3 linked regions of the Arabidopsis thaliana genome follow. The protein of the gene in region 3 purifies or fractionates together with the protein of the main gene of each other region. This does not show direct contact. Each region holds a gene or a part of one and is shown on either strand. Other genes may lie near its edges.

Evidence for each region.
Region 1: the proteins of EMB1241 (region 3) and Hsp81.4 fractionate together in Arabidopsis thaliana (co-fractionation; one large-scale study listed by BioGRID). This does not show direct contact.
Region 2: the proteins of EMB1241 (region 3) and HSP81-3 fractionate together in Arabidopsis thaliana (co-fractionation; one large-scale study listed by BioGRID). This does not show direct contact.

The regions. Positions count from the first base shown.
Region 1 is NC_003076.8:22,678,050-22,681,804, reverse strand, and holds the start of Hsp81.4 (HEAT SHOCK PROTEIN 81.4), read left to right. Parts: upstream 1-1,652; 5' UTR 1,653-1,737; coding exon 1,738-1,860; intron 1,861-2,119; coding exon 2,120-2,261; intron 2,262-2,368; coding exon 2,369-3,755. Other genes in the region: HSP81-3 (heat shock protein 81-3), read right to left, coding at 273-395. UniProt on the Arabidopsis thaliana protein: Molecular chaperone which stabilizes unfolding protein intermediates and functions as a folding molecular chaperone that assists the non-covalent folding of proteins in an ATP-dependent manner.
Region 2 is NC_003076.8:22,679,686-22,683,440, forward strand, and holds the start of HSP81-3 (heat shock protein 81-3), read left to right. Parts: upstream 1-1,552; 5' UTR 1,553-1,724; coding exon 1,725-1,847; intron 1,848-2,150; coding exon 2,151-2,292; intron 2,293-2,391; coding exon 2,392-3,755. Other genes in the region: Hsp81.4 (HEAT SHOCK PROTEIN 81.4), read right to left, coding at 260-382. UniProt on the Arabidopsis thaliana protein: Functions as a holding molecular chaperone (holdase) which stabilizes unfolding protein intermediates and rapidly releases them in an active form once stress has abated.
Region 3 is NC_003076.8:5,840,200-5,843,954, reverse strand, and holds the start of EMB1241 (Co-chaperone GrpE family protein), read left to right. Parts: upstream 1-2,096; 5' UTR 2,097-2,315; coding exon 2,316-2,567; intron 2,568-3,129; coding exon 3,130-3,645; intron 3,646-3,755.

The sequences.
Region 1 (3,755 bases), about 17 Mb from region 3:
AGTAACCAACCAATACACAGAACGTATATACAAATTACATATAAGCAAACTTTGTAAATCTAACAAGAGTCTGCTTAATCGTTGGTATCAACACTAAAACTAATCAACAGATTTGAACACAAACAGCTTCGCAACTTCAATTACCAACCAAAATTCTAAAATCGGCTAGAACACTAAACCCTAATCAATCCTAAATCTACAGATCGAACAGCCAGATCAATCAAACGAGACAGACAAGTATAAAATAAGGTGTAGAGAGATAGAGATCGTACATCAGAAGAGTTACTGATGAGTTCACGAAGGAAGATCTCCTTGTTAGAGTAAAAGGTATTGATGATGAGGGAGAGCAACTGGTTGATCTCAGCTTGGAAAGCAAAGGTTTCTGCGTCCGCCATTCTCGTTGATCGGAAAAAAAATCTAAGAGCTAGGGTTTATGAATCAAATCGAGAGATAAAGAGAGCAAAATTTTCTTTAGAGAGCAGAGAAGTGTTGATTGATACGAGACTTTGGGGAAGGATGTTATTATATATAGTGGTGTGGGGACTGGGAACCTATAAGGGTTTCTAGATCCTTCCTATTTGATTTATGTTAATTTGCTTTTCAGGTCCACATAATCTGCAATATAATTAAATGGAAATTACAAAATACAAAACTATTTTTTGGTAGAAAAATACAAAACTTTATTAAATTTTTTAAAATTTTATTCCCTTTTATTTTATTTTGGAGAACAGGTGTAATTTACTACTTTTTGTAACAGGTTTTAGTTTACTTCTTTTTTTTTTTGGTTAAATTTTGTAATTTACTATTTTATTTTATTGGTTGATGATAATTTACTATTTATAAAAAACAGTCAGATTTAATTCTACTCCCTTTTTATTTTGCAGAACAGGTGTAATTTACTACTTTTTTGTAACAGGTTTTAGTTTCCTTTTTTGTTAATTTTGTAATTTACTATTTTATTTTATTGATGATAATTTACTATTTTAAAAACAAAGCAATAATTTTATTTTTTGCTTACAACTTTTTTTTTCCTGTTTACAGATTGGTATGTGTATCTTTTAATAAAGTTTCAAAAAAATCAATAATTAAATAATAATATTGAAAGTTGTAAAATAAATAAATTAAAACAATAACAAAAAGAAACACATATTCTCTAAAAAGCGTGGGGTTTGTGGGGAGAAAAAATTGATTTTTTTTTTTTAACTTCAGAATTGATTAAAACTTTTTTTTTTTTTTTAACACAACTATTTATCTTGTTGTTATAAATTAAATACATAACTAAAATTTGAAATAAAATTTTGAGATATCTTGAAACTAAGGGATTAACTTTATCGATTTCAAAAAATAACCCAAAACTAGGACCGATCTAAAAAAATCTAAACATAGATAAACTAGAATGAATGGGAACTTGTAAATTCAAATCCATAACAAAATCGAATTTTGTATATGGAGAAAAACATTGTTTTTATTGATTAGTTTAGCTAATAGAAAAATTTAACAAAAAAAAAAAAAAAAAAAGTAAGTAGCACTTGTTCCAAAAAAAAGGAAAGTAAAATATTATGACAATTTTTATATTTTACAATTTCCATTATATTATGACGTCTGTTTCCACATCCCCTATATATTACACACTTTTCCCCCTTAATCAAACCATCAATACTTCTCTGCTTCTCTTAAGAATTTGCTTTTTGATTCACATAAACCCTAATTCTTAGATTTTTTTCCCGATCAACGATAATGGCGGACGCAGAGACCTTTGCTTTCCAAGCTGAGATCAACCAGTTGCTTTCCCTCATCATCAATACCTTTTACTCCAACAAGGAGATCTTCCTCCGTGAACTCATCAGTAACTCCTCCGATGTACGATCTCTCCCTCTCTGTCTTTCTATGTTTATCTTTAAGCTTAATGTGTTTGTGTATCTCCTTCGATTGATTTGACGGATCTATGTGTAGATTTAGGTTTTATTAGGGTTTAGTGTTCTTTTCGATTTGAGATTTTCGTTTGTTAATTGATGGAACCTTTTCATGTTCAAATTTGTTAGATTACTTAGTTTTTGATTGTATATATGTTGTGTGTATTTTGTTACTTATGATTGAGCTTTTTATTCTGGTGAAACAGGCTTTGGACAAGATTAGGTTCGAGTCCTTGACGGATAAGAGCAAGCTCGATGGTCAGCCTGAGCTTTTCATTCATATCATTCCGGACAAGACTAACAACACCTTGACCATTATCGATAGTGGTATTGGGATGACCAAGGCTGGTACGTAATTGATTTCATTCAAAAGCAAGTTGTACTTGATTTCATTCAAAACCATTATCTATGTGTTTGATTTGTGTTTGCTGATTCGTGTTTGTTCTATTGTACAGATTTGGTGAACAACCTTGGAACAATTGCAAGGTCTGGTACCAAGGAGTTCATGGAGGCATTGGCTGCTGGAGCTGATGTTAGCATGATTGGTCAATTTGGTGTTGGTTTCTACTCTGCTTACTTGGTTGCTGACAAGGTTGTTGTTACTACCAAGCACAACGACGATGAGCAGTATGTGTGGGAGTCTCAGGCCGGTGGATCTTTCACGGTGACCAGAGACACCTCTGGTGAGGCTCTTGGTAGAGGAACAAAGATGATCCTTTACCTCAAGGAAGACCAGATGGAGTACATTGAGGAGCGAAGGCTTAAGGATTTGGTGAAGAAGCACTCTGAGTTCATCAGCTACCCAATCTCTCTCTGGATTGAGAAGACCATTGAGAAGGAGATCTCTGATGATGAAGAGGAGGAAGAGAAGAAGGATGAGGAAGGCAAGGTTGAGGAAATTGATGAGGAGAAAGAAAAGGAGGAGAAGAAAAAGAAGAAGATTAAGGAGGTTACTCATGAGTGGGATTTGGTGAACAAACAGAAGCCTATCTGGATGAGGAAGCCAGAGGAGATCAACAAGGAGGAGTACGCTGCTTTCTACAAGAGTTTGAGCAATGATTGGGAGGAGCATTTGGCTGTGAAGCATTTCTCTGTTGAAGGACAGCTTGAGTTCAAAGCTATCCTCTTTGTTCCCAAGAGAGCTCCTTTCGATCTCTTTGACACTAAGAAGAAGCCCAACAACATCAAGCTCTATGTCCGTCGTGTCTTCATCATGGACAACTGTGAAGACATCATCCCTGATTACCTTGGGTTTGTCAAGGGTATCGTTGACTCTGAAGATCTTCCTCTCAACATCTCAAGAGAAACATTGCAGCAGAACAAGATCCTCAAGGTCATCCGCAAGAACCTTGTGAAGAAGTGTCTTGAGCTCTTCTTTGAGATTGCCGAGAACAAGGAGGACTACAACAAGTTCTATGAGGCTTTCTCTAAAAACCTGAAGCTCGGCATCCACGAGGACTCCCAAAACAGAACCAAGATTGCTGAGTTGCTCCGTTACCACTCAACCAAGAGCGGTGATGAATTGACCAGTCTCAAGGACTACGTGACAAGGATGAAGGAAGGTCAGAACGAGATCTTCTACATCACCGGTGAGAGCAAAAAGGCCGTGGAGAACTCTCCCTTCCTAGAGAAGCTCAAGAAGAAGGGTTACGAAGTCCTCTACATGGTTGACGCTATTGATGAGTATGCTATTGGTCAGCTCAAGGAATTCGAGGGAAAGAAGCTTGTCTCTGCAACCAAGGAAGGTCTGAAGCTGGAAGAGACTGATGACGAGAAGAAGAAGAAAGAAGAGCTCAAGGAGAAGTTTGAGGGACTCTGCAAAGTGATTAAGGACGTTTTGGG
Region 2 (3,755 bases), about 17 Mb from region 3:
CTGTTTCACCAGAATAAAAAGCTCAATCATAAGTAACAAAATACACACAACATATATACAATCAAAAACTAAGTAATCTAACAAATTTGAACATGAAAAGGTTCCATCAATTAACAAACGAAAATCTCAAATCGAAAAGAACACTAAACCCTAATAAAACCTAAATCTACACATAGATCCGTCAAATCAATCGAAGGAGATACACAAACACATTAAGCTTAAAGATAAACATAGAAAGACAGAGAGGGAGAGATCGTACATCGGAGGAGTTACTGATGAGTTCACGGAGGAAGATCTCCTTGTTGGAGTAAAAGGTATTGATGATGAGGGAAAGCAACTGGTTGATCTCAGCTTGGAAAGCAAAGGTCTCTGCGTCCGCCATTATCGTTGATCGGGAAAAAAATCTAAGAATTAGGGTTTATGTGAATCAAAAAGCAAATTCTTAAGAGAAGCAGAGAAGTATTGATGGTTTGATTAAGGGGGAAAAGTGTGTAATATATAGGGGATGTGGAAACAGACGTCATAATATAATGGAAATTGTAAAATATAAAAATTGTCATAATATTTTACTTTCCTTTTTTTTGGAACAAGTGCTACTTACTTTTTTTTTTTTTTTTTTTGTTAAATTTTTCTATTAGCTAAACTAATCAATAAAAACAATGTTTTTCTCCATATACAAAATTCGATTTTGTTATGGATTTGAATTTACAAGTTCCCATTCATTCTAGTTTATCTATGTTTAGATTTTTTTAGATCGGTCCTAGTTTTGGGTTATTTTTTGAAATCGATAAAGTTAATCCCTTAGTTTCAAGATATCTCAAAATTTTATTTCAAATTTTAGTTATGTATTTAATTTATAACAACAAGATAAATAGTTGTGTTAAAAAAAAAAAAAAAGTTTTAATCAATTCTGAAGTTAAAAAAAAAAAATCAATTTTTTCTCCCCACAAACCCCACGCTTTTTAGAGAATATGTGTTTCTTTTTGTTATTGTTTTAATTTATTTATTTTACAACTTTCAATATTATTATTTAATTATTGATTTTTTTGAAACTTTATTAAAAGATACACATACCAATCTGTAAACAGGAAAAAAAAAGTTGTAAGCAAAAAATAAAATTATTGCTTTGTTTTTAAAATAGTAAATTATCATCAATAAAATAAAATAGTAAATTACAAAATTAACAAAAAAGGAAACTAAAACCTGTTACAAAAAAGTAGTAAATTACACCTGTTCTGCAAAATAAAAAGGGAGTAGAATTAAATCTGACTGTTTTTTATAAATAGTAAATTATCATCAACCAATAAAATAAAATAGTAAATTACAAAATTTAACCAAAAAAAAAAAGAAGTAAACTAAAACCTGTTACAAAAAGTAGTAAATTACACCTGTTCTCCAAAATAAAATAAAAGGGAATAAAATTTTAAAAAATTTAATAAAGTTTTGTATTTTTCTACCAAAAAATAGTTTTGTATTTTGTAATTTCCATTTAATTATATTGCAGATTATGTGGACCTGAAAAGCAAATTAACATAAATCAAATAGGAAGGATCTAGAAACCCTTATAGGTTCCCAGTCCCCACACCACTATATATAATAACATCCTTCCCCAAAGTCTCGTATCAATCAACACTTCTCTGCTCTCTAAAGAAAATTTTGCTCTCTTTATCTCTCGATTTGATTCATAAACCCTAGCTCTTAGATTTTTTTTCCGATCAACGAGAATGGCGGACGCAGAAACCTTTGCTTTCCAAGCTGAGATCAACCAGTTGCTCTCCCTCATCATCAATACCTTTTACTCTAACAAGGAGATCTTCCTTCGTGAACTCATCAGTAACTCTTCTGATGTACGATCTCTATCTCTCTACACCTTATTTTATACTTGTCTGTCTCGTTTGATTGATCTGGCTGTTCGATCTGTAGATTTAGGATTGATTAGGGTTTAGTGTTCTAGCCGATTTTAGAATTTTGGTTGGTAATTGAAGTTGCGAAGCTGTTTGTGTTCAAATCTGTTGATTAGTTTTAGTGTTGATACCAACGATTAAGCAGACTCTTGTTAGATTTACAAAGTTTGCTTATATGTAATTTGTATATACGTTCTGTGTATTGGTTGGTTACTTACGATTGTGATTTTACTCTGGTGAAAACAGGCTTTGGACAAGATTAGGTTTGAGTCCTTGACAGACAAGAGCAAGCTCGATGGTCAGCCAGAGCTCTTCATTCACATCATTCCCGACAAGACTAACAACACCTTGACGATTATCGATAGTGGTATTGGGATGACCAAGGCTGGTACGTAATTGATTTCAGTCAAAAGCAATTTGTATTGGTTTTCGTTGATTATTTATGTGTTTGGTGTGTTGGCTAATACGTTTTTGTTTTATTTTTCAGATCTGGTGAACAACCTTGGAACAATTGCAAGATCTGGAACCAAAGAATTCATGGAGGCGTTGGCTGCTGGAGCTGATGTTAGCATGATTGGACAGTTTGGTGTTGGTTTCTACTCTGCTTACTTGGTTGCTGACAAGGTTGTTGTTACTACCAAGCACAATGACGATGAGCAGTACGTGTGGGAGTCTCAGGCCGGTGGATCTTTCACCGTCACCAGAGACACCTCTGGTGAGGCTCTTGGTAGAGGAACTAAGATGGTCCTTTACCTCAAGGAAGACCAGATGGAGTACATTGAGGAGCGAAGGCTTAAGGATTTGGTGAAGAAGCACTCTGAGTTCATCAGCTACCCAATCTCTCTCTGGATTGAGAAGACCATTGAGAAGGAGATCTCTGATGATGAAGAGGAGGAAGAGAAGAAGGATGAGGAAGGCAAGGTTGAGGAAGTTGATGAGGAGAAAGAAAAGGAGGAGAAGAAAAAGAAGAAGATTAAGGAGGTTTCTCATGAGTGGGATTTGGTGAACAAGCAGAAACCGATTTGGATGAGGAAGCCAGAGGAGATCAACAAGGAGGAGTACGCTGCTTTCTACAAGAGTTTGAGCAATGACTGGGAAGAGCATTTGGCTGTGAAGCATTTCTCAGTTGAAGGACAGCTTGAGTTCAAAGCTATCCTCTTTGTTCCCAAGAGAGCTCCTTTTGATCTCTTTGACACTAAGAAGAAGCCCAACAACATCAAGCTCTATGTCCGTCGTGTCTTCATCATGGACAACTGTGAAGACATCATTCCTGAGTACCTTGGGTTTGTCAAGGGTATTGTTGACTCTGAAGATCTTCCTCTCAACATCTCAAGAGAAACATTGCAGCAGAACAAGATCCTCAAGGTCATCCGCAAGAACCTTGTGAAGAAGTGTCTTGAGCTCTTCTTTGAGATTGCTGAGAACAAGGAGGACTACAACAAGTTCTATGAGGCTTTCTCTAAGAACCTGAAGCTCGGTATCCATGAGGACTCCCAAAACAGAACCAAGATTGCTGAGTTGCTCCGTTACCACTCAACCAAGAGCGGTGATGAATTGACCAGTCTCAAGGACTACGTGACAAGGATGAAGGAAGGTCAGAACGATATCTTCTATATCACTGGTGAGAGCAAGAAGGCTGTTGAGAACTCTCCATTCCTTGAGAAGCTCAAGAAGAAGGGTATTGAAGTTCTCTACATGGTTGACGCTATCGATGAGTATGCTATTGGTCAGCTCAAGGAATTCGAAGGAAAGAAGCTTGTCTCTGCAACCAAGGAAGGTCTGAAACTGGATGAGACTGAAGACGAGAAGAAGAAGAAAGAAGAGCTCAAGGAGAAGTTTGAGGGACTCTGC
Region 3 (3,755 bases):
TATTTTTTTAAGTTTGTGTAATCTTTCTTTGTAAGCGAAGAGTTTTGGACGAATAATTTGAGACAAACTTGACTACGAGAAAACTAGCTGAGGGTAGGATTTGAACCCAAAACTTGGTCATAATCCTTTTTGAGTTCCCAAAATTCACTGATAGTGTTAAGCGGAATCGTTCATTCAAAATATATACTATATGTAGGCTATTTGGGAATATCTTATACACTTTTTTGTAAGAAAATTAGACATATTTATCTATTGTTTTTAAAAAAAAATTGTAAAAAAACGAGATCTAAGTTTATTGTCAAGTTAAACAAATAGAGAATTACGGGACGATAAAAAGAAGGAAACTAAATGATTAGAGACTTTATTTTTATTTTTCTCAATCGACGTGATGACCAATTTGATACAGACTCATAATCTATATGATATACCCAGGTGGAAGACCCATGCGTTGCATGCGTTAGAATTAATATAATAAAATACAACCTGTTGTTTAGCTGTTTCTAATTAATATTGAAATATGTTTAGCTGTTGAAAACATATAGAGGTTACCTTTTATTTTTCTCTAACTTATTCATCTCATCTAGTTTATCCAACTCTTTTTTATTATTCAGCTTATCTTTATTCAACTTATCAGTACTCATTTTATTCAGCTAGTTCAATTTGTTAATCACCATTGGAAACTTTTTAGGTGTTTATTTTTAGAAAATACTCTTCATTAAATCTCAAAAGTTCATAAAGTTTTTGGTGTAAACTACTAATTGGAGATTCGATCTAATGTTTTATAAAGTATTTTATATGGTTTAATAAGATTTTAGAAGGTATTTAAAAATGTTTTACAAGGTATTGTTTTACAAGGTATTTATAAGTTATTTTTATACTGTATTTATAAAATATTTATAAGTTTTTACACACATATAAAAGTAGTTTGTATACTTTAATAAAGTTACACACATATTTGAATAAACCTCATATTCTTAGGAGTACTTTTAATAAACAATTAGAAATATAATATTTTTGAAAAGTGGTATTCGAAAAGATGCTTTTGAAATTCTTCCTTTATTTAGCTTCCAATTCTAAACATTTGAACTAAACTATTTGATATTCAATTTTAAAAGCTTATATGGATTGTCACCTCCAAACATATGCTAGATATTTACTTGAGAATTTTTGATAAACATCTACTTACAAAATTTTAACTAAAATAATATATTGAGAAATTGGAAAATGAAAAAGTAAAATGGTCGAAGAAGAATATCTTTTATGATATGTTAGCCTCAACAACGGGTGATATTTAATAATTAGTTTAAAACTTTAGTCACTTTGTAGTTAATACTTCTGATTTAGGATTAAGGTCCGTTGCACCCACTACTTCTGACAAAACTAAGTGTGCGGACTTAGAAAATAGATTAAACATGGATGGTCTCCTATCTCTTTGTTGTCAACCCAAACCGGCAAACCCTGATATTCTCTTATTACTTTTCATCTATAACATATTGAGTACTAGTACTTGACCAAAACAAACATTTAACTATATAGTACATCTCTTTGGGCTTAAGGAAACCCTTTTGTAAATAAAGCCTAAGCCCAAATTGTAGAACTAGTTATAGTCAATAACACAAAATTGCTTCTAAAAATTTCCCAAATCTCAAGTCTTATTATGTTATTTTCAACAACGATATGCATGAGATCATGATACAATTTGAATCTGCAATAACAAAACTGATACAAATTGGTAAAAACATATTTTATTGTCGAAAATGTTTGAAACATTCAGATCCAAAAGAAAGGCAAGGCGAAATTGATACAACTACAAATCATTCAAATATTCTTATGTCAGAACAACAGTTCCTGGATAAATTTGCTCCCACTTGAAGAAAAGTGTAGTCATCGCTAGAGAAGATGAAGAGATTCGTGATGAAGTGGACTTGGAAAAAGAGTTGAACCATAAGAGTGGAAGACAACTTACAAAGAGTTTGGAGACATCATACCAGGAATCAGTTAGATCATTGGCATAGAACATCGAACAGCCTTCTCGAGTATTAATTTACAGAGATTTTATTGTATTATATAAAATATTCACAAAACTGTAGAAGTTTCAAGAAAATCTAAATCCGACGGTTGAAAAACTCCCTACGTAATCTCTGTTGAACAACAACGGTCCGATCAACATAGTAAAAACGAAAAGTAAATCCAACGGTTAAAAAAACGAAACAAAACAAAAGATCCGACGAGGAAGAGTAGAACCGTTTGCCCTCTCTCTCTCTATCTTCCTTATCTCTCTCCGCCACTCTCCTTCTCTTTCTCCGAACTCTTCGATGGCCGGTCTACTCAAAACGCCGTCTTTACATCTCACACCAACTCTTCTTCATGCTCCTTCTGTACCCTTTAAGCCCTTTTGCGTATCTTTCGCCGGAGGAAGAAACGTTAGCGTCTCACTCTCTCGCCGAGCTTCTCTCCGGTCTGTCTCTAGCGGCTATCCTCTCCGCTTACTAAACCTCGTACCCTTTGCTTCGGGAGAAGCTGAGACGACGGAGACGGAGGTGGAATCGAACGAACCCGAAGTTCAGGTTTTTCGATTTCGGCTCACTTCTGTTCAACTTTCTTGGGGGTTATTTCATTGTTAGTTCGGTGATTAGGGTTTCGAATTTGGGATATGGTAATTTAGAATTGCTTGTTGTTTGCTTAAATTTTTAAGCTTTATTGATTATATTACCCTCTGAAGGAACGTTCACATGAATTAGAGCAATGAATAGGATTGTATTCAGTCTATTCAGGAGTCAAATGGTGAATGCTAATGTTTCTTAGGATATACCAAATCCGATGAATGACAGATTTCATATTCTTGTGGTATGGTGTGTTCCCAAAATGAAGGAGTTTCACTAGTAGTTTAAGACCATGGTGTGTATGTACTATCCAAATCGAATTTTGATTTCGTGATTCTTGTATGGGGGCCACAGAATGTTCTGAAGCTTTTTTGGTGTTAATCTGATTGTTTAGGAGGTCATTAAAAAATTGTGTCGTTAGTGTGTGTTCTGTCTCAGCTTTTATCAGGAATAGATAGGAAACGTCTATGTAAACTGGATTGCTCTTTTTCTGATTTTTTGTTTCACTTCTGAAATCATGGAGCAGGAGACGGATGGTGCTGTTGATGTCGAGAATGAAAATGCCAGTGCTGAGGAGGGTGAAGCTGAGGAAGAAGAAGCAGCTGTTATCACAGCGTTGCTGAAATCCTATAAAGAAGCTTTAGCAGACAACAACGAGGGGAAGATTGCTGAGATAGAAGCATCTTTAAAGTCCATAGAAGATGAAAAATTTCTGCTTGCGGATAAAGTAGCGTCTTTATCCAATGAGTTATCGGTGGAGAGGGATCGGCTTATAAGAATCAGTGCAGATTTCGACAACTTCAGGAAGAGGACTGAGAGGGAAAGGCTAAACCTTGTTTCAAATGCTCAAGGAGAGGTTGTAGAGAATCTTTTGGCTGTTTTGGATAATTTCGAGAGAGCTAAATCCCAAATTAAGGTGGAGACTGAGGGAGAAGAGAAAGTCACTAATAGCTATCAGAGCATATACAAACAGTTTGTAGAAATTCTGGGATCACTTGGTGTTATCCATGTGGAGACAGTCGGCAAGCAGTTTGATCCAATGGTTAGTTACTATGATATCTTTTCTTCTTTCCGGAGATCGACAACTGTATTTTTGTTGCTCAGCTTGCTGGTGGTTTTAATTTTTAACTATGGACGTGATCTTTAAAATCA